Linked DNA regions of Notamacropus eugenii. The protein of the gene in region 1 purifies or fractionates together with the protein of each later gene. This does not show direct contact. Links are inferred from orthologs where the notes say so. Each region holds a gene or a part of one and is shown on either strand. Other genes may lie near its edges. The genes, in order: DAPK1 and IFI30.

Region 1 (15,109 bases):
GACAGCATATGCTTTTATCCATTTTTATATTTACAGGAATAAATATAAACTGAACTCGCATCTAGTCTTACCAAGCCCACATTTTCACCTGGGGTTAGAAATGTAAGTCTACAACTGTGAAAGCCACTAGAGGATCTTCACAAGCATTTCTGAATTGAACTGCTCCACATGCGGAATGCAGAATCCTCAGCTTTTGTGTTACTACTATCATCATTTAATTAACAAGTATAAAATGTGAAATCATAGGAGAAATAATAGCAATTGGTAGAACTGAAAGTGAGAGCAGTGAGCAGGACAGTGCAGAAAGGGCTCAATGTCATGCCATATGAGGACTGGCTGAAGGAATAGGAGAAAAGATTGGGGGCAAGGGTGGGGAATAAGGTTAATGAGGAGGAGAAGGAGAAGGATAAACATTTCCATGGCACATAATAGGTGTCAGACACTGTGCTAAATGCTTGACAATTATTATCTCATTTAGGCACCCATCCTAGAGTTAGGAAGACCTGAGTTCAAATCCAGTCTCAGAAACTTTCTAGCTATGTGATGCTGGGCAAGTTACTTAACCCTGTTTGCTTTGGTATCCTCATCAGCAAAAAGTGCTGGAGAAGAAAATGGCAAACCACTCTAGTACCTCTACCAAAAAAGCCCAAATGGGGACACAAAGAGTCAGACGTGTCTGAAATGGCTGAACAACAAAATTCATTCTCGTGACAACCTTGAGAGAGGGTGCCAGGGATAAGAGTCAGATAATAACTTTTTTTCAAATATTTAAAAAACTCATGTTGAAGAAGGGTTAGATTGTTCTGCTTAACATCAGAACACATCCAAGAATGATCAATGAAAGCTGAAGAGAAAATTTTGCTCACCAAAATGAAATACTTCCTAACAATTATCCAAAAATGGAGTGGGCTGCTCCAGGAGCTCATGGGTTCCCCCTCACCCAAGCTCTTTAATGAAAAGGTTATATGAACATCTGACATGGCTAATGTAGAGAGGGATTACTGTTACAGTAGTCTCACTGGATAGCCTCTGAGGTCCTTTCCAATTCTGACGTTCTGTGATTATGGGATTTATTGAGCATCTGCTATATATTATTATTATTATTACTGATAGGCATAGTCTCTGTTCCTAAGGAGCTAAAAATACAATACATGAAATCAACATGTGAGAGAAAAAAATTTTTCCCAAATGTAAATATTTATTTATGGAACGTAAGTATTCATGCAATGTTTTTGCACTATTTATCCTTTTACATCTTGACATGTGTACCCAATGATGCATCAGATTTTAATTTCCTATGAAGGAGAGAGAGTACCTAATGAAGAGACTATTCAGCACCCTGTGCAGCCTAAAGGTATGTGGGTGCTTAATAAATACTTTTCAATGATCCACAACCTCTCCTCCAATACAGTTCAAGCCCGTTCCTTCCCATCTGGTTATCAAAAAAACTGTTATTCATTGACAGCCTTATATTATCCTTGTACATACCTGAAAACTATTATTAAAGTGTGATGGTACTAGCAGCATTTAAAAATAATTGAAATGGTATTTGCCTAGATTAGACAACACATCTGAGTCGAACTCTTTGAAGACTCTGCACACACACACACACACACACACACACACACACACACATATGCACACACACCCCTCTAATACAAGTAATAGTGTACATTTAGGGGCAATGCAGTATAATGGAAAGAACCAGAGGCTCTGAGTTCAAACCTACTCTCTTCCACTCATTATTGTATGACACTTCTGAAGGATTCAGTTTTCTTATATTTAAAAGGAGAGAGATAGAATACATTACTTCTGAGGTCCTTCTCAGCTCTAAATCTACAATCCTGTCAGTTGAGCATAAAATGCTAACAAGTGGCACGACATCCTAAGATTTTCAAAGTGTTTTACAACTATTTCCTCTGATCCTCAAAACAACCCTGCGAGATAGGGGCTCTCATTATCCCCATTTTACAGATGAAGAAGCTCAGAGAAGTTTAAATAACTTGCTCAAGGTCATACAGATAATAAGTATCAGAAATAGGATTTAAAACAAACTGAAAAATGTTACTTAGTTGCTGACATGGTATAATACCATAATACTACTACTACTACTACTATTACTACTACTACTACTACTGCTACAACTACTACTACTTATATAGCTCTTTAAATTTTTACTTATATGGTGCTTTAAAATTTACAAAGTGCTTTGCAAATATCATTTCATTTGATTCATAACCACCCTAGAATGTAGCTGCTATTCTTATTCCTATTTACAGATGAGGAAACTAAAGCAGACAGAAGTTAAGTGATTCCTAGATTCACACCGCTAATAAGCATCTGAGGCAAAATCTGAACTCAGGTCTTCCTAATTCCACAGGCCCAGCATTCTATCTACTGTGCCACCTAGCTACCTTAAATGACTGTCACTTACTTAAAATGCTTATAAAATCTATGTCAAACTAAGATTTTAAACTTGAGTTATTAGTTTCAGTTTTATATCTCACTAATAGAAGATTTTTGTCAATAAACAATTTCTTTTGCTTAAAAAGGTCTTTTTTTTTTGTATTTTCATTAGTCTAACCATATAACCTCCAAAAGAAAAATGAATCTAGAAAAGAAGTAAAGCTGTGATAATTCTCTAAGTTTGTTACCATCATTAAAAACAACTATCTCCAAAGTTTTGGAAAGAAGGGATCTATGAGTTTTGTAAAGGTAAAGTACTACAGGATCCATCAATGTTTACCCATGCATTCATCTGCTGAGTGAGAGTTATGTACAAAGCACAGGATGGAGGATGCAAATGCCAACATAGAATTTGGGAGGAATTTATATCTGAGGAGAAAAGGATACAAAATTACTTCAGTGAATCCTTCAAGGATGCACAGTTCTATTGGGGAAGGGAACATCCTCCCCTGATGAAAATGAGAAGTTCTCTATGGTTTTGTAGACTATGCATGAATTACTGTAATCAAAGAAATCCACTACCTGGTGGTCAGCCAACCTTCTAACTTAGTTAGGAAGGTGTCACTGAGTCCATACTCAAAGTCTTTTCAAGGTAGTAATATCTTTCAAAGCTTGTGTTAATGCGCAGCTAGGTGGCGCTGACAGAGTGCTGAGCCTGGAGTCAGGCTCATCTTCCTGAGATCAAATCCTGCCAGAGACACTTTCTAACTATGATACTGGGCAAGTCACTTACCCCTGTTTGCCTTAGTTTCCTCATCTGTAAATTGAGCTGGAGAAGGAAATGCCAAGTCACTCTAGTAACTTTGCCAAAAGAAACTCAACTGAGTCACAAAGAGATACAACAGAATACAACTGAGCAACAATATTCAAAGTCTTTTCAACATAGTAATATCTTCCAGGGCTTGTTACATTGGCCTAGCCTTTAGCCTTTAAAAAAACAAACAAACAGGTTTTATCCCTAAACTATTTATCTTCTTGGTAGAAGATCACACATAAAATTGATCAATACAAGAATTAAATAATGCAGAAATGATACCTCATGGCTGCATGTAGAAATCACCATAGAATCAAGTGGATTTATGAGTAAAAGTGCAGCATCAAAAGACAGGTAAGATATAGCTATGTAGCTGGAAGAAGGGAGAGCATTTTGAAGGCAATTATTGTTCACATGACTTTATTGTAGCTACATGCTCACGTTTAGATTATGAACAAGCAACTCATAATATGCAACTTAAAACAGACTTGCCAACACTAGCAATCCACTAATACCTGTAATTTTTTTCCTACTGTTCTACCTTGCCTCCTCTACCCCCAACTTATGTCTTTCTGCCTTCCATTGAAGTACACAGTTATGAAACCAATATGCTTTCTTACACATTTAGAATAAATCTTTTCTTGCTTTGGGCAAGTAGTTATTTGCAGTGCAGACATAAAAAATTACAGGGTTTGAAAGAGCCATCAAAGGTCATCTGGCCCATCACTTTACCTCCAGGCTAGTCTACCATTCCAAAACAGATCCAATGCATAGCTTTCTAAACCCCCTACTTCAGTCATTATTTTTATTATTAACTGACATTCGTATAGAATTGTAAAGTTAGCAAAATATATTTTCATACGATGTCATTTGAGCCTCTCAATAAGTCTGTGAGGTAGGTACCAGAGTTATTAACTGCATTTCAAAGGTAAGATTAAATTACTTGCCTCATTGACACTAGTAACATAAGCAGGTTTTGAGTCTACATCTTCTTGACTCCAAGCCCCAGAATTCTATCCAGTACATGTAAATCAACAGATTCATTCACTTTACTCTCAAAAGTAAAATTATTGAATTAAAATTCTTTTGAACCACACGCCCCACACAGCAGACATGCAAAAAACACTCTCCAGAGTTAAGATGAAGTACAAATGACCACATCATAAAAATGAGAAAAAACTGTAAGCATATACATTTTCACAGATTATAAAACTTCTCTTAATAGGTGGGCCTCATTTTTTTACTTTTTCAAAAAAATGACCAAAAGGTCTCCAGGAAATTCAGGTTTCGTAAAGAATGTGGAAGTAGACTTATCTTTACTAAACTGTGCTTTCAACTGCTTTTAAGTCATATCTTTCAAATACAGAAGTCCCTATAAATTAGGCCATTTTAACCAAAATGAGCTAATGCCACATTTTTTCACCTCCTTTTAGTCCCAAAGGACCACTCCAAAATACCACAAGTCTTGCTGCAAAACCACAGGAATCAAATGACTTTATTTAAGCCAAACCAAATATTTTGACCACATATCCCTACAATGCCATACACATGCATACTTCAGTCCCACAGAACAGAATACTGATAAATGTATTCACAAAAAGTTATTTAAATCGATTTCCTGTGTCTAAGGCTCCAAACCTAGATCACTAAGTTTTATGACATTTAGCAACATACTCTCAGAAACATATAAGAATGTCTTAATAAATGTTTGCCACATTGTGTGGCTACAAAATTTCATGTTATTTACAGATCATGCAGTCATAGAAGGTTATGGAAGGTTATATAGATTACTTTTATTTTTCATTTTTTAATTAAAAAGGTAAATTTGGGAAATTACATTGAAGTAGTTTAGACTAGGTGTGGTTACAATTCTCTTGCAGAAAATAAAGGAAACTCACTTTGAGTGTCGAGTTGTGTATGAATACATATATGACTATACATACAAGTTTGTTTTTTTTTTAGTTTACAGTTCCTTCCATTCTCTTTACTCACATCACATACACCATTGGCACCTTCTTTTGACTTCATTTTAAAGGGTGAAAGAGGTTTTCTGCCAAATGCATGATAGCAACAGATGATGCAGTGGGAAAGTGCTGGGTTTGGAGTTGGGAAGACCTGAGTTCAAATCTAGCCTCAGACACTGCTAGCTCTATGACCCTGGGCAAATCATTTAACCTTGCTGTGCCTCAGTTTCCTTACCTGTAAAATGAGAATAATAAACTGCACCAACCTCCAGGGTAATTGTGAAGATCAAATGAGATACAATATGTACAATCTTTCCTAAACTTTGTGCAAAATACAAAGGTTACCTATTTACCCAGGTGAAGGCAAAAGCTCCCAAAAGCTTATGGCCCTTATAAGGCTGGTGATTAAACAACGTAAAAAAAAAAAAAATAACCATACACAAACACCCCTAAATCAATTCATTTTAAAAACTGAACCAGAAAGATTTTACATCAAGAATCACAGCCCCGTGAATCAAAATCCAAACTGCGTGTGAATAAAAAGATGATATTGGGCTTTTTATTGGATTGCCTGAAACATAGCTGCACAAATGAGACAAATGAAAACACCACAACAACCGAATTTTCAAATTGCTTTGAAGAAGTTAAAAATCAACGAACTCCATCAACAGATGTTTGCACCCATCATTACTATGCAGATGATGATTTATCAGCTTCAAGAAAATACCAGTACACAAATGCCTAAAAAGAAAGCAATTTAAAAACTGAACCAGAAAGATTTTTACATGAAGAATCACAGCTCCTGGAATCAAAGTCCAAACTCTGGATAAAATTAAATATTTAAAAATCCAACTAATTAGAATTATTTAATGCTAACCTACTATTTGTTAGTCACTCTATTATTTAATAGCAATCTGTTTAAATCATACATAATAGCATTCTCCACCTGCAATTGCCTCAGAATCTTTCCTACTGTCGCAGATGGGCAAAACACGACAGAATGTTAAAACTGGGAATTAGATGGGCACTTGTCCTGGACTGGTCAATACACTTTGCATCAAAATGTAACAATGAATTTCTGAGTGACCTTGTACTAGACAGTTTCCTGCAGACTGTGCCACTTATCTCTAACTCCAACCACCCTTTTTGTGACTAGTAAATCTCTTTTCTAACAATTCTCCCTTTTAGAAAGGACGGGGGCAGAGCTGCTATTAGAGAAACCTCAGCTAGGGTGTGTATTGTACTCCAGCTTACATTAGCCTGCCTCACACGTTCCCAACCCCAAGGCCCCCAGTATTACTCATCATCCCCTCAACAGAGAAACAGGAGTCCCAGTGCCTACCGTACCTGCCAAGCTCCTCCCCCGTGTCATAGTAATCATCCAGGTTCTCCTGCCTGAACACCGTCATGATAAGCTGTCAGTCCTCACCAAAGCCCCACCGACTTCAGCTCCACTTCCCAAACCTGTTATCACCATATCTTCGAAGGCTTCGTGGGCACCTCATGCATTATTTTTCCAGCCTTTAAAAGAAAATACAAAAGAAACAGATTGTCCCCTTATCGTCTTTACAATCACACAACAAAAATGCTTTGCATGCTATTTCGGGGCAACATTTGCACCTTGCATCTGGGGAGAGAAACCGCCTTTGTTAAGCACTGACTGCTGGAAAAAAAAAAAAAACCCAACAACTTACATCTGGTCCCGAACCTATCCCTGCCGTGTGTGGCTATGTACACACGGAATCTAAATGACGGTTTGTTCGTTTAAAAGGTGTTTTGTCCTCCCAGATCAGCTCAGGGAGAGAACAGGACCCAGCCAAGCTTCCTCCTTTCCTTTCTCTCCACACACGCACACGCACCAGTCTCCTCCATTCTCAGTCTAAGAATGAAACGTACCCGGACCAGGGGGCGGAATGCGTCTCTTCAAAGAAGGAAAATGTTTCGGAGGCAAAAGCAGCTAAGGAAGGTACGGTTTCTAGTCAAGCCCCTGCCACGACGGTCACCTTGTGACCCCTCCCTCCGTATACCTTCCTTCCCCAGCGATCCCATTTAACCCAGATCCGCGGAAGGCAATTTCCAGTGGCGGCACATTCCACAATGCCTTCCCCTCCGTTACCGGGTCAACTAGGACGTGCAGCTGGCAGCAGCAGAAGCAGCCCCATCCATCGCACTGACACAATACGGCCCCGCAAACACGCACCGCACCGCACCGCGGCAGGGGGAGAGAAGAGGCCAGCCCAGCCAAGACGCCCACCTCCTCCCTCCCCGGGCCCCTCGGCACGCCCCCGCCCCAATCCACCTGTTTCCGACCCAGCCCGGGCCGACGCCGGGACCGAGGGGAGGAGGAGCAGGCTAGGTAGGGGAGGCTCCGTCCCCACCAACGCCGGCCCGACCCCACTCTCCTGGCTGAGTTTCCGAGAAGCCAGGGCCTTCCCCCATTCCCCGGAGGCGCTGCCCGGGAGAATCCAGCAAGCCGATCAACCAAAGCAAAACAAACAGCCGGCGGGGGGAGGGCGGGGGCCAGGGAACACTTACCCCCAAACTCTGCAGCTGGAGGGGGAGCCTGGGGCGGGGGAAGCCTCCGGAATTCTCCGGAGTTGCTCTCGGAAGCCAACCATAGGCTCGGGCAGCGCAGAGACTAGAGGGAAAAGAGGGTGGGGAGGGGGAGAAGGAGGGACGGAGAGAAAAAGGGAGAGCGAGGATCCCTCGCCGCCACCTCCTCTCCTCCCCCACGGCTTCCTCCTCCCGCCGCGGCGGCCGCTCCGGCAGCTGCTGCCCTTCCCCTTCGGCTCCAGGTCCTGGCGAAGGGAACCGGCGGCGCAAACAATGTCCCCGGCGTGGAATCGGGGACTCGAGCCGAGCCAGCTGCGGCAGCACTCGGGGCCCCCGCCCGCCCAGCCTCCCACAAGGGGGAGTCCGGCAGCCAGCCAATAAGGGAACACCACTTGCAGCGACCCACCCACCTCCACACTTACCTTCCCCTCCAGCTCCAGAGTGCTGAACCTGCCCGTGCCTATGGAGGGACGGTTCTGTTCTGTTCTCGCTCTCCAACTCCTAGCCACCCACTCAGGCAGGCATCCCCACGCACACACAGACGCCCACGCCCTGGGCTCCGTGGGAGCGCTGCTTGGAAATGGTTGCACGTCTTGCGATTGCAGACTTTAGCTGTCTTCGTGGCTCTTCTCTCCAGGTTCCTAAAAGTATCGCCCTGAATAGGGGCGGGGCGGGGGGAGGGTGACTAGGAGAGACCCAGGCCCGGCACTTACTGGCCCAGTGAAGTCTGGGAGGTATGGGGGCTCCCGTGAATATCACTCCATCAACTGAACACTCAGAATTTCTGCTTTCAGAGCCACTCTTAACCACCTTTGCCTCCCACTCCTACCATCCACAAATCTCAGTTCTGCACTGGATTGCAAGGATTTCCTTTGGGGGAAAATGGATGTCTGTCATGGCCTTACTGAGAGATACCCCCAAACAGAAAAGGATGCTGTGATGACAAACCCCAGTGAAGAGGGTGCACTCCATAGTTCACGTGTAGGGATGTGGCACTGAGATACAAACGCTAGGCTCTGTTTCAGGATTTCAGACCCGCAGTCCTATCCAGCACTGGCAAATCTCTGGTGTTCTAAAACACAATGAAAGCACTTCTTCAACTTATTCAGCCTTGAAAACTAGAGCACTCTGGAATTTTGAAATAAGTCCCTCAAGCTGAAGAAATGGTGCTTCTCTGTGCATTTTCCTCCATTTGAGGGAGAAGTAACAGAAGTGTAGCCCAGGTCTAGTGTTAGGCCTGGTCTAGTTACTTTGTTTAATGGTCTGTAAGAAGCCGGGTAGATGCAATCTGCTGATGGTTCTAAATTGAGAGGTGGTGTGGATATCAGTAATGGGTTTCAGAACTAATACAAAAGGATCTCAAGAGGTGAGAAACATGAGCAGAAAATAACAAATATGATTCATCTGAGAGAAATGCAAATGACTTTGCTGGAAAATAATCTAACACAGATGTTTAGGAGTCAGTTGGAAAGTAAGAAAGCGGTCATGCCTTTGGAAAGTACATGTGAATGTGCTCTTCAAGACAACTCAACAGACAGTGCCTGTTTAAAGGTTTGGACCAAAGTGCCTTTATGTTCCCCCAAAAGAATGATTTTTTTTTTTATTCATCACACTGGAACCGCTTTAAACTAGGGCAGGAAAGTAGAAGCCTCACCCTGATTTTGTGAAATCTAGGTACCTTCTACAAGGGTCCACGCAAATTTACAGGGGGTTAGGGAATATGACCCAGAGGGAATGTCACAATACAGAAGTGCTAAGTCCATTTGACCTTAGGACAGCAATAGTGGACAGTGACTCAGAGGCATTTTTTAGGAGATATAATAGACTCTGAATCACAGAATAAAGACTGACTGAGCCTGAGCAGAAGAGATTCCCTGATGCTGGGATATAAAAATAGGCAAGGCCTAGAGTCATTGAATCATAGAACTTTAGTAAAGAGCTTTTTAATCCAATTTATTATTCAAAAGGAATCCCCCACTATACTCAAGTGGTCATCTATCTTCTGCCAGAAGAACTCCAATGAATTGAAATTCACTATCTCTCCAGACAGCCCACTTTTGGATAACTCCAATTATTAAAAAAATTTTCCAGACTCAAGTACTCAAATGGATCTATGATCTCATCAGTTTGGAAGTTCACTTCAACCATTCTAATCACATCTCATTTATATTTGTGCATCTTGTATGACTTTTGTCCCTGTTCTCCCACAAGTTCTTCAAAGAGGTATATACCCCACTGTACTAGAGGTCTTCCTCATTTTCTCCTGACATAATGAAGGTACCAGAGGAACTCTTTGGTCATATACTTGTCAGTCTTTGCCTTTGTGATGTAACCTGATCTTTTCTTTCTAGCATTCCTTGAAGACATCTTTAATTTCTGTTGTTTGAAGTTCTCTCAATTATCGTTGCAGTGTCCTCACACACAGCATTCACCTTTCCATTGTGTGATATCCTTTTTTAATTATTCAGAAACTTGTATTCCATATTTCACCACCATATAACCACATCAGTAGAATATTGATATGAAAAATATGGGTCTTTTCCCAGGACAACTGGGGATCAAAGGAGCTTTGTGTTTTCCTAAAAGCAACCAATCCTGCTGTTTTCTTCTTCAACTCTCACCCAAGCTCATTGTCCATCTCTATTGTCTACCCAGGTTGTATACATGTATACATCCATGCTGATGACAGTATCTACAGGGTAGCCATTCAAATACATGTCATAGGGTAGGCAATAGATATTCATCAACTTGGTCTTTTCCATGTGGATGATCAGACTCAAATTCTCTAAATAATTACATTTTCTCCTTCAGGAGACCCTGTAATATTTTGCTGGTTGATATAATTTGTACAATATCATCGACAAAAAGGAGCATCAGGGCATCACCACCCACAGGAAATGTCCCTTCAGCTTGGATTCCATGATGTCTTTGGTATTCATTTCTCTCTATTTGCCAAGTAGGCACTCTCTGGACTCTCTTGGTTTCTTCATTGTGGCAATTAATTTCTATTAGTTAACTGCTGAATAAAAATATTATAATTAGTGCCAGTCATCTGTTGTCCGTCTCCTATTTTTGATGGTCAATTGCTTGTTTAAAGAGTTTAGGACTGAGTTGTTAGAACTGTATACTTTTTTTCCCCCTCATTATTCTTTTGGTTTTTAATAATTCTGCTCTCAACTCAGGTACATTAGTTATCTGTTACACATAGATGATTCAGGTAAAACTGTCATATTAGTATTAGGCAAGTATTTTCCTGTCTGTGAAAAAAGAATATATTATGGATTTTGTTTCATTTGTTTTTGCAACATAATTTGGTGTTTGCTATGTCTGGGAACCCCCCATTTTTCCTCAAAGAAAGGCTTCATGATATAATCTCCATTGGCCTCCCTCATTCCTTTTTCCCCTGAACTATGCTTTCCCATGTTTCATATGTATTTCTCTTGATACTCAATTTTTTCCAAATTTGCATTGAAGTCACCATACACGTGTCTGTTCATTTAGACTGGAAAATCTTAATGAGATTCTTCCTAGAACTTTTCAGCCTCTTCATCCTAGCAACCTGATGTTTAGCCTAAATTTACCTCTTGACAATATCTACTTATTGCTCTTAGGATCAAACAGAAGAAGCCTAACTTCTCTTTCACAAGACAGTGCTTCAATACTTAAACGAAGTTGTGGTGTCCTTCCTAAGACTTCTGCCCTTCAAGTTAAACCTTCTGAGTTCCTTCAAATATTCCTCATGTGATCTGGACTTGGGCCAAGGTCCCATTATGGTTAACCTCCTCTTGATGCTTCCAGTTTATCAGCTTTCTTTCTTAACTAAGGAACCTAGGAAACAAGTTGAACAGTAGGAACTGATGTTGGGATGTCCAAGGGCTCCATATTTTCACTGCGTTGACTCTATCACTATGCATATGGCATTACTATCACTGGGTTGACAAGAGGAATAACACCCTAGGTTTCTCAACCTCCTACCGTAAGTGTCATCGGTATGGATTACCCTTTTAGGGAAACATGATTAAAAGGGAAAAAGGAATATTCATTAATTTTGACTTTGTTAACATAAGTTCTACATTATAATGGAAGTAGCTAGATTTCTGAGATACTATAGATCCTCAAGATATACATTTTTTGTTTAAATTCAAAATATTAATGATACAATAAGAGGATAGGGATTAGACCTATGATTTCGTTGGCACTAGAGGCACAGTGGAGTGAGAGAGAGAGTCAGGCCTGGAGTCAGGAAGACATTTTCCTGAGTTCAGGTCTGGCCTCAGACACTTACCAGCTGTGTGATCATGGTGAGACCCTGTTTGATACAGTTTCCTCATCTGTAAAATGAGATAGAGAAGGAAATGGCAAACCACTCCAGCATCTTTGCCAAGAAAACCCCAAATGGGGTCATGAAGAGTTGGACATAACTGAAAAATGATTGAACTGAAGGAGCTCCTAAGTAAGAAAACTCCCTCTATCAGTATGTCATTACCTTCTCTGCAATTCATAGTCTTAGAGTTTCCTAGAGCGTTGAGAGCTTAAATGACTTGACCAGGATTACACAGTCTTTATGTATCATGAGACTTGAATCCAGATCTTCTTGGCTATGTGAAGTCAGCTCCTCATCTACCATTATACCATACTGTCTCTAGCAGAAATAATCTTTATCTTAAAGTGCTGGCCTGTTGCATTTTGATTTTATATTTTAGGTACACTTTCTTCCATTTAGGTCACGTACATATCTATGGAGGCTAGACTAATTTCTATAGAATCCTAAATGAAAGATTTTCTTACTTTCATTTAAGTTAAATGAAAAAGGTGGAAGATGGAAGAGGCTTAAGAAGTCATTCAGTCTAACTTCTCAGGCCACAGGAATACTATTTATAATGTCCCTATTGGGTAGCCACTTCATCCCTTTTGAGTATTTTTTTTTTGAGGGAATATTCTACCTCAAAATAACTCATTCCATTTTCCAGTCACTCTAATTGTTCAACGTTAAGTTGAAATCCAATTCTCTGTAATTCAATCACTGTTATTCCTTCAGATATTCATGCCCACAAACTTGGAATAATCCTCAACTCTCCTACACCCCACGTATCCAATCAGTTGTCAAGTTTTTTGTGTTCTCCTTCTATAACTCTTCACACCTCTGTCCATTTCACAGCCCCCACTCTCATCCAGGTCCTCACCATGTCTCACCTGAACTATTGTAATAGTCTCCTCATTGAGCTCCCTGGGTAAAGTTTCTTCTCTTTCCAAAATATCCTTTCCATCCATTACTTCCAAAGATCTGCCAAAGTCATCCAGACCCTATAATATTCCCTACCAATAAACTCTAGTAGCTTCTTATCTCCTCCAGCATTGGATATGAGCTCCTTTTTAGCATTTAAAGCAATTCACAACTTTCTTGCAATCTATCTTTGCATTCTTATTAAACATTATTCCCTTTCCCATACTCTACAACACAATTAAACTGGTCTTCCTGTTCCCTATGTATGATATTGTAATTCCCGCTTCCGTGCCCTGACACAGTCTCTCCCCATCAAATCTGGAATGCATTCCCTTTTCACCTCTGCTTCTTAGAATTTTTGGCTTCCAACAAAGCTCAATTCAAATGCCACTTCTTATAAGAAGCCTTTCCTGATTGCTTTTGCCACTTGTACAATTCTCACCTCTACTCACAACTGATAGACTGTGTCAGAGGATGTGATAGAGGAATTCAGCTCCTCATCACCTCTCACCTGAATTTTTTCTGTATCTCCACACCTTGATTCCTTGCTTCAACTCTCTCCCTACTTTTTTCATACTCTACACCTGCCAAAGTCCTCACCACCTCTGCCTAAAATATAGGTCATATGATGTCACCCCCCCCCCCCCCAGCAAATTCCACTGGCTACCTATTGGTTGTAGAATCAGAAATAAGCTCCTCTTTTTGACTTTGAGTCCTCTTCATGACCTGGCCCCAGTGTAATTTTCCATTCTCATTATATATTACTTCTTTCCTGCACTTTAAGGTACAGTTAAGTGGCTTTCTTCCTGTTCCCCAAACTCACAAAAAACCACAACTAAAATATCCAAGCATGCATAAGATATTGAGATATACCATCCATTAAGAAGAACTACTCAAAGAAAGAGGCATGGATTATTCTGAAAACTTTCTGCTTGATTGAATTCACTTTTGCTCATTATTTTTGCATTGTGTATGATGACTATCTACATAAAGAGAAACATGACTCCTACTGAAAAGCTGTTATGTTCAATCACTCTTATGACCTATTGTTTGCTTGTATCTTTCCATGAAACTAAAACTACAAAAAACAGATTTACCTGCTTGGCTAACTACACTGATCAAATTAACAGAGTAATTACCAAACATTATTATTCATAATTCTGTCCTATTCTCCAGGACATACTCAGGGGTTTTTGAAAACTAATTGAAGAATATTCAATTACATGGCCCTTACTAGAAATACTATTCCAGAATTTTATTCCGTCATACAAAATATACAAATATTGTTTATTTCACTTCTATCTTATCCTTTTTTATTTTAATGTATTTGTTTCATAATATAAAATATATTAATATAGTAGTACATGTATGTGCATTATAAATAATTTTAGGACATCCCTGAGAACACCTTCCTCATTGGTAATTATGAGCTACCTAAGTCTTAGTATGCAGGAACTCTTAGTATGAGTCCACTTAGGGCAAAAGCCGAGACTGTTTTAATGACAACCTTTAATAGATGTAGATTTATTATGTAAAATATATAATATACAAAAACATTTTATATTCTATATATGTATATGTGTCTGTATATGTACACATATTCATACATGTATACATACATGTGTGTATGTGTATGTATGTGTATATGTATGTGTAGGAGTATATATATATATGTGTATATATATATATACATATATATATATATGAAATGCTACATAAGATAAAGAGAGGGTGATATTAGAGGGAAGATCCAGTAGTAGGGATGTGAGTGAAGGGCCTCTTGGAGAAGTTAAATTTGAGCTAAGCCTTGAAGGTGATCCGGGAAACCAAGAAACAAAGACAAAGATAGAGAATATTTCTGGTGTGGGGAATGGCCATTGAAAAGGCATTATGTTAGAAGAGGAAATACCATGTACTAGGAACAACTTAAATCAAGTCAAGAAAAATTTCTTCATTGGTTATGATGTGTTAGATCCTACTGATACAAAGTCCCTGTCCGAGAGAAGTTCTTACTCTAATGGGGGAGACTGTACGAAAATAACCATATACATACAATGTGTATACAATGTAAATGAAATTAATCTCAGAGGAAAGTCACTAGCATTGAGGGGGACCAGGAAAGGCCACATTTTTAAAAAATGATATTTT
Region 2 (15,925 bases), on another chromosome or scaffold:
GCAGGTGAGTTGGGGAGAGGGCATAGCTCTTACTTCTTCAACCACAATCCAAGGCGTGTATGTATGTGGAGGGGAAAGATGATTTGTCATCATGGCGTTTTGATGCATCATCTTTTTGCCTTGAGGTCCCGTTGCACATTGTGTGACATCTTCCATAGAAATATCAGGGGCATAGAGCTTCAGACACTGCAAAGAAGTGAAGGAAGTATTATTTGGAGGGGAGACTGATACCCTACCTTTCTTCTTTCCCCAGAACAACTAAGCCAACCTTATCTCTTCACATGTTAATGAGGCAGTAGCATGAAGGCAGAGAGGAGTTAAAAATGTAGGGAGCCTTTGCCCTGAAAATGGGATAAATCTTTCCCATTGGGTCTACCCTTCTACTCTCTCACTAGTTGTCAGAGTGGGTTTGGGTCTCCAACCCATCCTTCTTTACCTTATGTAAGCCTACTCCAGCTCCCATGTAAGAGAGAGCACCAGAGGACAATAAGCCAGGCTTGTCTAACCTGTCCTTCCAGTCACCATCCCTTTCTCTGGCTCCAAATCTTTGAAATGTGCCCACAATCTCTGAAATCCAGGAAGAACTAAGTCATTACAGTGGGGGATAGTGTGTATTGTAGAATGTGGGGAAGCTGCTCAGCAGCCTACCGCCTTCCACAGAGTTTCAGAAGGCTCATGGGACTTTGTCTTTATCCCCAGATTCTGACTAGATGTGGGACCCTTGACAAATCCCTTCATTTTTCTCAGCTTCCATTATCCTGACAACAAAAGCAATGTCCTGATTCCAGGGGATTGAGGATGAATAAGAATGCTGCCCACCTCCTACCTGAGGGGATGAACTCAAGAGGCCTAAAGACACGCTTTTTTGGATATGGCTGGTGCAGAAAACTATGTATATTTGTTCCAGGCTAGTTGTTGCTTTTAGTAGTATTTTTTTTTCCCAATTAGATGTCAAGACAATTTTTAGCATTCATTTTTACAAATTTGAGTTCCAAAATTTTCTCCCTCCCCTCTTCCAAAAATGATAAGCAGTTTGATAGAGGTTATTCATGTGGCATCATGCAAAACATTTCCATATTAGTAACACTTTTGAAAGAAGAAACACATCAAAAGGAAAAAAAAACACAACAAAGAATAAGTGAGAAAAATATGCTTCAATCTGCAGAGTCCATCAGTTCTTTTTCTGGATGTAGCCCTTTGTGCTTATTTTGGATCACTGTGTTGCTGAGAAGAGCTGAGTCCTTCATAACTGATCATCACAGTATTGCTAATACTGTGTACGATGTTTTCTTGGTTCTGCTTATTTCACTTTGTATCAGTTTGTACAGGTCTTTTCAGGATTCTCTCAAATCTGCCTGTTGTAGATTTCTTATTGCATGATAGTATTCCATTACATTCAGATGCCACACCTTGTTCTACCATACCCCAAATTGTTCTCCAGAATGGTTGAATCACTTCACAACTCCACTAACAACGCATTGATATCCCAATTTTCTCACATCCTCTGCAACATTTATCATTTGCCTTTTTTGTCATAATAGTCCATCTGATAGGTGTGAGGTGGTACTTCAGAGTTGTTTTAATTTGCATTTTTCTACTCAAAAGTGATTTAGAGCACTTCTTCATATACCTATAGATAGCTTTATTTATCTAAAAGCTACCTGTTCATGTCCTTTAACCATTTATCTCTTGGGGAATATTGTTAGGTAAGAGATAAGGAAGATAAATTTCTGTTTATTAAAATGAATTGATTCATGGAGTGATTCCCATCAATTGGGGAATGGCTAAACAAACTGTGATATATGATTGTAAATGGAATATTATTTTGCTATACGAAATGACAAATAGGATGATTTCCAAAAAACCTGGAAAGACTCACATCAACTGATGAATAATGAAATGAACAGAACCAGCAGGACATTTAACAGCAACATTGTTCCATGAAGAACTGTGAATGATTTATCTATTCTCAGCAATACAACCATCCAAGATAATCCCAAAGGATTATCCTCCTCCAGAGAAAGAACTGATATTGTTTGTACAGAGGCTGGAGCATGCTATTTTTCTATTTCATTTTTTCTTTTATTTGAGTCTTGTACAAAATGACTAATATGGAAATGTTTTATATAATGGCATACATATAATCTGTATCTGATTGCATGCCATCTCATGGAGGGGGGAAGGAAGGTAGAGAGGAAAGGATAGAATTTTGAATTCAAATCTTAAAATAAAAATGTAAAAAGAAAAGCTGATTCAGTTAAAAAATTAATGTGGAAACAGCAATTTCTACACAACTTCCCTCTTTGAGCTGTGTGACAATGTTCAAACACTACAAAAATGAAAGTTTTCATTACCTTTCTTGTTTGTTTCATGAGGTTCTCTAGGAAAATATCAGTATGGGGCCTGACTTCCATTTTGTCTTTGTATTGCCAAGTGCCTAGTATGATGATAGGCACGTGGCTACCATTAAATATCCAGAGGGGGACTTGAATTCATCCCTGCCACCAAAGAATGCCCTTTTTAATACCAGAATTCTCTGGGTGAAGTATGATTCAGCAGAGCTGATCTCAGATGTAGGGAGACCTGGGTTCTGGTGCTGTGTGACCCTGGGCAAGTCACCAAATTTCCTCAAGAAACTTTCTGAGCCTAAGACCAGGCAACTGGAAATCCACAAGTCATTTCCGTACTAAGAGTTCCTTAATACTGATGAAAAACATAGGCAACTACCCCCAACAGTAACAAGTCCAGGTGATTCAAAGGATGATGGTGGACAGATGAAGGCTGCAGCCTATGCAGAAACCAGTCAAACTACCAGTATCTCAAGAGAAGTGAACATAGGATTGGCAAAGGTAGTATGCCAGTCACACAATAACAGTGTGGGATGAACATTAGAAAGTGTGTCTATGTCTAGTGTCTATGAAATTTGTAAAGACTCTAATGCTTTGGATGGACCCTCCAGTGAGAAGCCATGAAAGGACATGGACAAGAATCCCATGGAATGAGAAGACAGAAGGAGCACCACACCTCCCTTCTCCCCAGGGGGCAGGGGAAATACTCACAAGATGCACCCATCAAGAGGCAACAAATCTGTCTACTTGTCTGGACTAGTCTCAATCAGTCAACAGACATTTGTTAAGCAATTACTGGGTGCTAAGCACTAGGTACAGAATGAAAAGCAAAGAGACAAAGTCTCTGCCTTCAAGGAATTCACTCCCATTCTAAAGAACCCTGTCTTCAAAGTTCATCTCCTGAAATATTGCCACCTTTGGGTCCCTAAAGAACACAGACACATTCTCTGGAGGAGATTTAAGCTAGTAGTGCTCTCCAGAAAGCCCCTTCAAATTAGCCTATTTGGTAAGGAAAGTGCCTGTCTTTACTTATGGACCATCCATTAATGCTCTAACCATCTAAGACAACAAGACCCAACCTCACTAAAGGAAGAAGTGTGGAAGTGGGTCCAGGAAAGGATGAGTAATCTGTTGTGTATGGGGATTTCCACTCTTGCCTCTATATAACATAATTTCACTACTCTTCTCACAAGAGCAGTCATGTGGAACATTCTGGAAATTGTAATACCCATAGAAATTAATGTTATTTATTATTAACTATAAATTTATTTTCTATCAATGTAATAATAATATACTTATATAATTATGAATTAGTATTATAATAATACTTAATACTATTAAAATGACTTCCCTCACTTCTTTCACTCCATCTATTACCAATACCTCTTTCTGGTCTTGGTACTTGCCATGTCAGTGACTTTTACTTGATCCTGACAACCACCTTTCCACTATCCCCACTTTACTCATGGGGAAATCAAGGTTCAAAGAACCAGCAGTCACTTTTCCAAGGTCTTACAGCCATTCCTGCCCTGCACCAGGTCTTAATGTCCTTTAGGTGATCCCAGGACAATGAAATGCTGCCTCAGGGCTGCATCAGTCCAACTGTAGCCCCTGGGCAGAGACAAAGGGGTATTGGAAGAGATTTCCTCTCTTCCCTTCTCATTCCCCCTGCCAGACCAGGCAGGCACTTACTGGTTCCAGTGAGGTGGTCTGATCAACAGCTGACATCATACAGTTGACCACAACAAAGGCATTAGGAAAATGACTTCCAAGGAGGTACAACACGCAGGTCTGTAGGAGCAGAGAATAAGACTGAGAAACAGATAGGAAGAATATTCTTTCCCTTGGGAAATATTCCACACTCTGCTTCCCCATAATGTACCAGGAATGCAAAAGGAAGCCCAGAGTTTAAGTGAACAGCCCACAGTCACACAACACCTCCAGGAGAGGTTTGGAGCAGAAGAGTCTTTACCTGAAGCATGTTGAGTTCACACTCCAGCTCCCCATGTTGGCAGGTAAATTCCCAGGTCCCATTCACTTGGGTCTCCTGAAAAATACACACCCCAAGATGTGAAGGGGAAGGCAGAAGGCTGCAGGCAAACTCCCCACCGTCACTCCCACCCCAGTCCCAAGCTGGACCACTCACCTTAGCATTGCCAAAAGGCACAAGAGTGACATTCATGACATCCTTACCCAGCAGCACCCAGGTAGGGAAAAGCATCCAGGACAGGAAGAACCGACAGCCGGGACACAGTGCCTCATAGAAGAGTTTCACAGAGACAGGAGGGGCATCCAAAGGTCTCCATTGGGCAGAACACTCCTTTTCCGCCTGCAGGATGGGCACATCAGGTCACATTGGTGGTAGACAGACAAGTATGATCAGTGTGACAGGCTTCTAAGGCGAAGCTGCACCCTACTTTCCTCCCCATGTAGGGGGAGGCATGTTGGGACCCTGAGAGCCAACAGCAGCTGAGTCCCCTGGTAGTGTCCCTTGCATGGGATATTGCAGGGTCTGAGTGGATCCCCTGCCTCCAGCCCTGCTCTCTCCAATCCATCCTCCACACAGCTGCCAAACTGACTTTCCTGTCCTCAGGAAGTTTCACTGGCCCTGGTCCTCGTCTGCTGTTACAAAAAAATACAAACTCCTTTCTTTGGCACTCAGTGCCCATCAGACTCTGGCTACACAGCCTGTCTTTCCAAACTCATTGTACAATACTCCCTGTCATTCATTCTATATTTCAGCCAGCTACTGCTCCTAGAACATGAGGCCCCATCTCCCATCTCCAGGTCCTTGCACAAGCAAGGAATGTTCTGGATTTCTGGAGTGTTCCACCTCCCTACCTCTGTCTTGCAACACCTAGTTTTCTTTAGGGTTCTGCTCGGTGACACCTCCATCAAGAGACCTCTTTGTTAATGTCTTCCTCCTGCCCACATCAATATGTATTATATATTCTAGACATATTTGTATGGACATACATGCACATACTTTTATATCGACATATAGACATACTCTTATGTGTCCTACAAGCAAAGCCAGGAAGACTACCAGGGTTCAAGTCCTGTCCTAAGCACATAGCGGCTAAGTAGTTTTGGGCAAGTCACTTGGCCTCAGTACCTGAGACACTCCCTTAGATTTTAAGTTGTAGAGAAAGTGGCAACTTTCCCCGATAGAGGGGAGACTGCTCACCAGAGCCTTTCCTATGCCAATGAATGTAGACATCCCATGCAGTCCAGATTGACTTGTGTGCAGTGGGCATGTTCTATCCCCCAGTGGAGTGGCAACTCTTTCATGGACAGAGGCCTTTGGGACTTTCCCTTTGGTGTTTTAGCCAGGCCCTAGAAGCATCTGGCACAGGCTAGGCACTTAATAAATACTGGCCAGCTGATGGACTGGCAGAGATCTCTCTGTCCTGTTTCCTTATCTGCCAGATAAGGACACTGGCACCTGATAATCTGCTGGGCCCTTCTGGCACAGGCATTCTCACCACCAGAGTGTCTGGCCCTACAATAGATGCCTGCAGTCCTCTTCTAGCACTATGTTCTAAGAGCCCTCAGCTCTCCTGTTCTTCAGGATAGAGAAGATCCCTTATAACCACTGACTGGGGACAACTTCCTACTTCTGTTGCCCATCCTCTGAAACCACTGAGAAATCAGCTCCAGGTTAGTCACCATGTGACTGTCATGGGGTCTGTGAAGAAATCCTGACCCATTCCATTGTCAGCACCTTGGACTTTCCCTCAGCACTCTTCTCCTCCTCCCCAGCACCCTTCCCAGCTTCCAACTCTAGGGAGCAACCTCTAGAGACACTTGACTGCACGGTGACCCCAGGCTGGAGCAAGAGGGAGTTCAGGGTCCTATAGGGGTAAGGATAGCCCTACGTCCAGGTGAGCCTCTCCTGGGTACCTCCACCCTCAAGTCAAATCTAAACTGTCTTCCAAGTTGCTAGGAAAAGTAGTAGGAAAAAAAAAAAGCTGTGGAGCCACTTAGAAACAAGGAAGCCCCACCCATCCCTGGCTACCTCTGGCTCTGGAGGGAAAGTACTTCACCCTCTCGGTTTCTTTGTCCAGGTCCGGGCTTCTATGCCCCTGGGTCTGACACTCTCTGTCCTGCCGGGTCCCCCAGGAAGCCGTCTGGTATTCAGGGACCCTGGTCTTACTCCCGTTTCCCCTGGCCCGGACATTGGCAGGTTGATGTAGCTGGCGCCTATCTCACCCAGCGTCTGAAGCAGTCCCAGTGTGGGGGAGAACCAGATGTCCCAGGGGCCCGCCTCGGGACGCTGCCCTGCCTGCGCCGCGCCAGGTACCTGCCTCGCTTCCGGGGGAAAAAAGCTCAGGATCCGACCCCATTCCCATGCTCCAGCCCCACCCGAGTTCCCAGCCGTCCTCTAGTCCACAGTTCCTGTCCCGGACCCAGTACCTGGCAGATTCGGGAATTTTCCCAGGAGGAGCACCAATTGTAGACGGGCTGAGTACAGACAGGTTTTGTGGATTGCGATTTTCGGTGGAGTTGGGAGTGACTGCCACTTCCCACCTGACAGGGCACGCTGGGCACTCCGGGTACCAGGAGCAAAAGGAGGAGCAGAGACGCCAGAGGAGCCCAAGCCATCAGGCCTAGGTTGGTGGATTTGGCGGAGCGGAGAGCTGAGTGTAGATGAGCTGGTTGTACAATGAGGCTCAGTCCCAACCTTTAACCTCCTTGCCCTGCAGTGTCTGGCCCGCCCTCCTTGTCCCCGCCCCTGTCCCCGCCTCCCCCAGCTGTCCTGGCTGGGGGTGAGGGGGGAAAGAGGGAGGAACCTATAGACCCTACCGATCCCTCCACTTGGCCACAGCAGTCAGCACAGCTCCCGTACTGTTTCGAAAATGGGGAGAGGTGGACTAGGACCAAGTGATCCTTCATCCTGTGATTCTTTGAGCCTCAAAGTTTCCTCATCTGAAAATAAGGGGTGTGGAATAAAGGTATTTGATCTTTAAAGAACAACCTTCTCCCTCAATTAGGGCACCAGGGAAATCCTGTCCCAGGGTCTTTCCAAAAGGACACCTTGGGAAGACTTCTCTGAACAAAGTGAAGCGAGCAGAACCAGGAGAACACAGAAACTGCAACATTGTAACCATGACCAACTGGGAAAGACTTAGCTACCCTGAGCAAGACAATGTCCATAACAATTTCAAAGAAATCTTCTTGAGAAAAAAGCTATCCACTTCAGGAGAGAGCTAATAAACCTGACTGTAGGTTAAAGCATGGGATTGCCCTTGGGAGGTTTTTTAATCACTTTCTTTCCTTCTTTTGCTTTTTCTTTTTTGGCTTATATGGAAATACATATTCCATGCCTCAAGAAGCATAATGGGTGTCATATTCCTTTCCTTCTCAATGACTGGGAAAGGGACTGGAGGTAGGAAGAAAATTTGGAAGATGTGAAAAATGAATGTTAAAAAATTGACTATTTTTTTAAAAGGACTCCTTACATAGAAATGAGCTGGACCAGCTAGCAATTGCAGAGACCCTCACTAATTTTGGAAGTGGGAGTTTCCCCCACTCTCTCTGGATGCCCCTAATCCTGTTGCCACTTCCCAGAAAACAACAATGAGCAGGGTGTGTGATTGCAGGGGAGTTGTGGGGAAAAGAGCTTAGAAGTTGAGGACATTTAACAAAGGTCTCAGTCTGACCCCCATTTGGAATCTGGGTGGAGCACACTGGGCTCCTTCCAGTATTCCCTGGGCCTTGCCCCAGACTTTGGGGTATATTAAGGCAGGTTAGGGGAGGAGTTTTATATAGAAAAGAGTCAGAATGGACTGTGTTCCCTGGAAGTTTCTTATCACCTTAATGTCACAGTCTTCACTGGGGACTGAGAAAGAGAAATGAAGAAATATCAGGGGAAGGAATCCCAGGAACTGGGTGAGGATTACCCAGTCCTTGTGATCCGTAACATCACAAGACTGAGTGTTGGAAGAGACCCTGGGACACAGAAATTGAGGTCCGGATGGGACATTAGAACAGACACATGAGATTTGAGAGATGGTGAGAAGGAAGGAATACACACTGAATACTCCCTGCCAATTCTGGACTATGTTGGGAGGGCAGACAGTGCTTGCCCTTTGATCCAGCAATACCACTGCTAGGTCTGTATCCCAAAAAGAGCAAAGGAAAAGGCCCTATGTGTAGGGAACTATTTATTGCAGCTCTTTTTGTGGTAGCAAAGAATGGGAAATGGAGGGGATACCCACCAAGTGGGGATGGCAGAACAAGTTTTGTTGCATGATCATGATGGAATACTTTAGTACTATAGGGAATGATGAACAGGATGCTTTCAGAAAAACTGGGAAGATGTATATCATTTGTCATTTTCCTATTCTGTCTGATCTGACAGGTGTGAGGAGGTCTCTGAAAATTGTTTTAATTTGCATTTCTCTAATTAGTCACATTGGAACTTCCTGAGAAGAATAGCCAGGCCTGTGTCTTAGAAGGATCTTTTTAGCAGCTGAATGGAAGATGGATTGGTGTGGGAAGAGACTTAGGGCAGGCAGGTCCACCAGCAGCTATTGTGAGACTCCCAACCTGAGGTGATAAGGGTCTGCACTAGTGGGGTGATGGTGTCAGAGAGAAAAGGGTTATAGGAGACAAGTATTTATTAAGCACTTACTGTATGCCCAGCACAGTGCTGGACACTGAAGTGCAAATAGAAACAAAGAGATATTCCCTGCCTTCATGGAGTTTCCATTTGAATGGGGGGAGGGAAAGGAGACAACACAGAAAAGGAAGCTGAAGATGGAGGTGAGGTGAATGTCCTTGAATGGGGACTTGATAGAGAAAGAAATCCAGAGTCAGGAGTGAACTCTGATCAGGAATGAAGGAGGAAACCAGTCTAGCCTGGGCCCTTCCTTAAAAGAGAGGGTCTAGGAGGAGATGACCAGTCAGGGAAAGGGGCCAAAGGGCTGGAGGTATCTTCTAGAGGAGAAGGTATGGGGCATGAGGGCTCCCTTCATCTTTGATTCTATGTTCACAGATCAATGGGAGGAAGGGGCACATGACCAACTGGGGGAATCAGATGAGGCCTCTTGAGGAAGCAACACTAAAGCTGAGCTTTGAAAGCAGCCAGAGGGTTCTGAGAGCACGCTAGGTGTGGGAACCAGCCTGTTGCTTGTCCTTCCTTCTAGAAGAAGACTGAGGCATCAGGAAGATGACTGGCAAGTGAACTGGATTACAATGACGGAGTGCTGTTCAAAGTCACCAGCCTCACTTTCTCCTCCAGAGCCCTTTGGGTCCTGTGGCAAGATATAAATCAAGATGACTGGAGATGGCCCCCTGGAGCCAGCCTATGCAAAGGAAGATGGAAGACGGAATGCTGTGTTCAGAACAAACAGGCCATTTGACTGGACCATAGGTCAACTCCCAATTGAATTCCATCCCCCACTGCTGTCAGGTCTGGAGTCAGAAACATCAGAGACCTTTTAGTCTTCTACCTAACTAAAAGGAAGGAAAGATGGATGGATGGATGGATGGATGGATGGATGGATGGATGGATGGATGGATGTGATGGCTCCTTTCCTGAGGTTGAAGCTGAGGGCAGAGAACTTGGAATCTTCCCAGCCCTAATCCCCCCAAGGATACCCACATTCTTCTCTACAACCCATCATACCCCACCCCACCCCACCCCTCCAAGATTTCAGCAGGGTCAGAAAGGAAAACCATCCCCTGCCCACAAGAGCCACTCTTCACTTCTCTTTTATAGTAAGGAGGCAGTGGACCCTGGATTTATTTTGGGGTGCTACTTGAGGTAGCTAGCTCATGGGCCCTGGGCTATCTGTGGTGCTTTCTGAGGAGGGCTGGCCTAGGCAGGCTTAGGGCAAGGCTTAGATCAGGTGTGCATCAAAATGTCACATGTCAACCTGAATTTGGATACAAAGGATCACCTCTTTACAAAATGAGAAAAGAAAAAAAACAGTGCCATGTACACAGCAGACCATGGAGAGGATTAAATATAGAATAACGGACTTCCATTTCAAGAAAACCTATGTAATAAATACTACACACGGTTTTTAAAGCTGCTCAGCTTTTCATTACTTCCTTTTTGGGTTTTCTTTTGTTCTCTTTAGCCTTTCCTCTCTCTGGGGAGATCACTGGGTACAATTACTGTCATGATCTGTTATAAAATCACTGAAAAGCTATGTTAAGCTGTCCCACAAGATTTCAGGAAAGTATTCCACTTAACTGGAGCAACAGGATACAAACCTTTCAGGATTCCAGGAAAAGGAATTCCTCCAGTTCTAATCTCTTATCAATAATGACTGCTTTAGAAATTTTTGAAAAGAACAGTAGCACCTCTAGGACCTGGGAATTTCCAGGGCTGTTCTGCTACCTAACCATCCAGCCCCTCCTACAGAAACCTAAGGGACTTTTGAATTTCCTTAGAATTGCTTTTCAAAGTACATCAGCCTGGGAAGAAGGTAGGGAGATGAATTGCCTGGACTCTGAGGGACTTGGGGACAAGAAAGGGGGAGAGGTAGTCACTGATACAGGAAAAGAGTGCAGATGCCCTGAAACAAATCCCAGAGGCAAAGCTTTGTCAGCTGGGGAAACCTAGAAGGTTCTGCTCTTTCTCTCTAACCCAGGAACCCCGTTTCTCCCCCAGAGCTCTGAGGACTAAGGCTGGCAGCCCCCAGACTTTGGGGTCTTTCCTCTCCTGGATTGCTTCTATTGCACCTCTTTCTTTCAGCCATCTCCTCCTGTCCCACAACCTGAAAGTCACTCAAGGTTTTGTTGTCTGCTCTATTCTCCTCTACCTTTCCCTTCTCCCCTTGGGTCATGTCATCCCTTCCCATGGCTCACACTTTCTACCCTCCCTTCTCCTTAGATCGTATCTGAAATGCAGATGGCCCTTCCAGCTTTGACACTCATTCCTCGGCTGGCCTCTCCCCCAGAGGTGATCTCTTCTATTCTGGCCTTCTGGCCCTGGAATACCCTTTTACCCCTTTCACCCCCTTCTCTCACTGATCAGTTTCTTCCTGGGAAGTCCATTTTGAGGAAGGGTTCAGGAAAGCCATTTTCACTCCTCTCCCAGATTCACCTGCCTGGGTAACATGCTTTCCTCCCCCTCTCTTCTGAACTCCTTTATTGGTGTTTCCCTCATTAGAATGGAAAGTCTTGGAGGGCAGGGGCTGTCTTTCCTTTTTACTAGTATGTGGATCCCCAGTGCTGAGCTCCTGCCTGGTCCATAGCAAGCACTTAACAAACACTTCTTGTAACTGAATTCCAGTTGTCTGTGTTTGTGCCTTGGGTCCTGGAGGACAAGGACTAAACTGTATTGAAACTTTGAATGAATGAAAAGACATTTGGATTAAGCCCAGGAAATAGCATAACAGTGGATGGAGATCAGTCCTCAAACCAGGAAGGACTGAGCCATACTGGCTGTGATCTGGGCTCCCCACAGCTCTGTTCAGCCCTTTAAGTGGCAGAGCAGGTACCCACTGGCCTTGGCAAAGGGAGTGTTTTCTGCTGGGAGTTCCCTTCCCAATGAAACCATGGATCTTGTCCCAATCCCTATCTTCTCCAGCACTAAGTACAAGGTGCCCTTTGAAGAACTCCTGGCCTTTGCCCAGGCAATGTCCCACACCTGGAAAGCTCTCCTTCCTCACCTCCACCTCCTGGCGCCCCCTTCAAGGCCTAGCTAAAACACTCCTTCTACAGGAAAACTGTTCCAGTGCCCCTTGATTCTAGTGCCTTCCCTCGGTTGATTAGCTTCAGTTTATCCTGTCTGTGGCTTGTTTGTCCAGAGTTGTTTAGCACAATGCCTGGCACCCATAAAGTGCCTAATGAATGCTTGTTGGAGCAACATTATTGGGAGACGGGCGATAACGGTGATAATGTTTAATATAAAATTTTGGAATAATCTCTTTGTTCTCTCTGAAGCAAACTCAGAGAATGCCTCTTCCTATGTCAGCAAAAGCCAGCCAAAGCTGACTCTGCACTCCTTGGGAGTCCTTTAACCTATGACATATCTTGAATAATGGGACTTTCCTTTGTATCTTATTATCTATAGACACATACTATGTTATGGCATATTAATGGTAAAGAAAAAATAGGCATCCTGGGTTTCTATTGAACATTGTTTGCCCTTTCCTGCATCAGTTACCTGTTTGGGGCAGGAAGCCTGCCACTTACTAGTGGTGGGATTTCCTTACCACCTGGGACATATGTTTACCCAGCTTGGAATCTCAAGACTTGACTGACATTGCTTTGTTAATTGTCTTGTCTTACTAAATTTATGATTTGTTCAACTAGGAGAGTTCCTTTCTCATGGCAAAATGTATATAAGCCAGAAGATTTCTGCACTGGGTAGCCAGAACATTTCTGGCTCCATAATGCATTATGTAACTGTTTTCTTTATGGGGAATTGATTGATTAATTAATTAAATCATAAAATGTATGCATTCAGCCTGTTGTCTTTCTTTTTAAGTTTTCAGGTCAACAACGGCAAGACAATCCCAAAGGACTCAGGCGGAAAATGCCGCCCACCCCTGAAGAAAAAGCTGATGATGTCTGAATGCAGATTGAAGAGTAATATTTTTACTTTAATTTTTTGTGTGTTTTTCCCCTTTTATTCTCTTTTTTCTTTCACAACATGACTAATATGGAAATATGTTTTACATGATTGCACATATATAATCCATATTAATAGCTTACTGTCTTAGGGAGGGGATCAAGGGAGGGAGAAAATTTGGAACCCAGAATTTTATTTTAGAAAATGAATGTTAAAAATTGTCTTTATAATTAGAAAAAATAAAATACTATTTTAAAAATGCTTATTGACTTTACTTGACTCCCAGAAGTATATCTGTGGCCCTGGCTTCTCCCCTGAACTCCTGCCAGGTTATGTGTGTCCCACCAGCAACCCCACCTCAACCTGTCCGAAGCTGCAGTCAGCACTTTTCCCTTCTCCCAGCTTCCCTCTTCAACTTTTCTCCTTACTTTCCCCCAATGAGCATTAGAAAATTGAGGTTCTTATCCTGAGTACATGGGGTGATCTTGGAAATTTCCTTCCTCTTCTGGGCCTAAGTTTCGTCCTCTGTAGAGCAAAAGGGTTGGTCTAGATGACACAGAAGACCTCTTTCAGCAATTTCAGTTTGTGACACACCATCTAAATATGTAACCACCTGCCCCTTCACAAAACATTCCCTACCTTCCTGACAAGGAGTTTTCTAGCCTTTTGGACAAGACTTTCCCTAAGGGGGAACCTCGTGAGGTGCTTCATTTCAGTTTCTTTGTTCCTTAACATCTGAGGAATTTTTTTCCCTGACATCAGGACAAAATTCCTAAATATTTACTCTCAGAATTTTCTCTCTCTTGGTCCCAATTCTCTCCTCTGGGTCTAAGCAGATTGCATAGAATCTCTAACAACCAGCCTTTACATCATGCTTTGGGTTTTGCTAAACTCTTTATAAATATTATCATATTAGATCCTCAAAGCAAACCTTTGGGAGATAGGTGTTATTATTATCCCAATTTGGACAGTTGAGGAAACTGAAGCAAACAGAGGAGAAGTGACTTGCCCAGGGTCACACAGGTAGGGAGTGTCTGAGACCAGATTTCAACTCTGGTCTTCCTGACTCCAGGCTCAGGGGTCTTATCCACTGGGCCACCTGGATCCCTTCCACATGACAGCCTTTCACATATTTGAAGAAAAAAGTTTTCTCTTTCCTAAGTCAAACATCCCTAAGTTCCTTTAAGACATTCTCACCTGACAAGACCTAACCTTCATTATCCTTGTTTCCCTTTTCTGATTCTTCAATGTCCTTTCAAAATCTGCTATCAATTTGGGGGATAACTAAACAAATTGTTGTATATTACAACGACTAGGTTCTTATCTTTGTAAGAACTTACTATAATGAAGAATTCAGGAAAACAGAAAGAACTGATGAAGAGCCAAGTGAGTAGACAGTCAGGAAAGCAATTTACACAATTTTCCCTGGAGGCTAAGGGAAAATGGCCTTGAAAGACTTCAGACCTCTTTGAGTATCCAATCCTAACTTCAGAGGATGGATGGTGAATCATGTCTCCCAACTCTAAGTATGGCAGAAGTAGATGGCCAGATGGAGAATAAGGCATACATTTCTATTCATGGCCTATTTGTTGGCTGGTTTTGCTTGATTATATTTATTTGTTATAAGAAGGCATTCTAGTGGATGTGAAAAGGGTGGGGAGGAGTTTTGGGGAGGTATCATTAAAAATAAAAAGAATTGAGCATCAAGATTTGAAACTTTAAGAAAATTGCTTCCTAGAACAACACAATACCCTGATATTGGCTAGAGTCTATCTACTCAACCCTACGGTAGAGCTGACCTGTGTGGCCGTTAATTGGTAGCCTAAATTGATCAATCTGTAGTCATTTATTAAATTCCACTGAACTCTGCCTTGACCATTAGGCAGGCCTAGCCATTTACCACTTATCTGCCCAGAGGCTGTATCCCCCAACTTCATTCCCCAACATGCTTTGCCCAAGAAGTTAAACATAAAGCATTATGGCTGTAGGGAAAGGCATGGCAATCTGTTATCTTAGCACTAGTCCAGTACTAGACTAGACTGTCCTAGACTCAGAATCCCTGTGATTCAGAGTCATAGGCTTATATAAGGGAGAACATCCCTTTCTTGACTACCCCTCCCTCATCCCTCCCACCCATTCCTGTTAGTTCCAACTCTCCTTGTCCTTATTCCACTCAACCTACTTTCTGTTTTGCCACCATTCCATTGGTAATCAACATCCTTTCAAATTTCCTCTCATACTTCTTCATTCTTGGCAAGAATGGAAACCTGGCTTCCACCAGAAGAGATTGCACTTCTGGGCATCTTCTCCAGCTCTGGATGGACCTCTGCTTAGACTATCTCCCTTTCCTCCTGGCCTCAGAGTGGTCTTGGAAGAGGAGAAAGCATACTCTTATACACCCTCATCACTTAGCAACTTCTCCTTCTTTGGGTTTCCTAATTTGTCACCCGATACAGATCTTGGTGACCGTTCTCAACTGCCACCACCTATCTCATTCTTCCTCCTTTCTTTTTAAAAAATTATTTTATTTCACTAAATATGTTCCAATTACATATAAAAACTTAACAGTAATTTTAAAAAATTGAGTTGCAAATTCTTTCCCTGACTCCTGCCCCTTCCCCCTCCTCCTGCCTCCTTTCTTGAGGAGTTCCATGTCTGGCTCAGCCTTTCTCCCTACCCCAACCCAGGTCCTCATACTTGGGGAGTTCAACTTACAAGCTGATTTCCTTTCAAAGATCGAGATTCCCAGCTCTCATGACTTTCTCACTCACCCCACACTCAGCCCCACACAGGGATGGTTGCACCCTTGAGCTCATCCTCATCCCTAGGTGTTTCTCCTTCATAATCCACAACTTTGAAATTCCTCTGTCTGAGAACATAAGTTTCTGTCCTTCCAGCTCTCTCCATGCCTTCTTTCTCCTAAACCTAGTCTCTGTCTTGCCTACAACCTTCAGTAGCTCACTCCCTCCCTACTTTCACAGGCCAGCGAGGATAATGATCCTTGCTCTGACTTCACTTTCCTCCTTTCAAAATCTTGACCCTA

Evidence for each region.
Region 2: the proteins of DAPK1 (region 1) and IFI30 purify together in Homo sapiens (affinity purification with mass spectrometry; 3 studies listed by BioGRID and IntAct, counting the BioPlex papers as one, with this or other methods). This does not show direct contact. The link is inferred for Notamacropus eugenii from reciprocal best matches to the Homo sapiens genes DAPK1 and IFI30.

Annotation. Positions count from the first base shown.
Region 1 is NC_092874.1:330,613,102-330,628,210, forward strand, and holds the start of DAPK1 (death-associated protein kinase 1), read right to left. Parts: upstream 8,389-15,109; 5' UTR 8,160-8,388; intron 8,086-8,159; exon of another isoform or gene 7,720-8,085; intron 7,613-7,719; exon of another isoform or gene 7,484-7,612; intron 7,167-7,483; exon of another isoform or gene 7,081-7,166; intron 6,706-7,080; 5' UTR 6,594-6,705; coding exon 6,532-6,593; intron 1-6,531. UniProt on the Homo sapiens protein: Calcium/calmodulin-dependent serine/threonine kinase involved in multiple cellular signaling pathways that trigger cell survival, apoptosis, and autophagy.
Region 2 is NC_092875.1:67,669,775-67,685,699, forward strand, and holds the start of IFI30 (gamma-interferon-inducible lysosomal thiol reductase), read right to left. Parts: upstream 8,000-15,925; 5' UTR 6,954-7,999; coding exon 6,765-6,953; intron 4,678-6,764; coding exon 4,495-4,677; intron 4,396-4,494; coding exon 4,321-4,395; intron 4,140-4,320; coding exon 4,041-4,139; intron 2,359-4,040; exon of another isoform or gene 700-2,358; intron 187-699; coding exon 34-186; intron 1-33. UniProt on the Homo sapiens protein: Lysosomal thiol reductase that can reduce protein disulfide bonds. May facilitate the complete unfolding of proteins destined for lysosomal degradation. Plays an important role in antigen processing.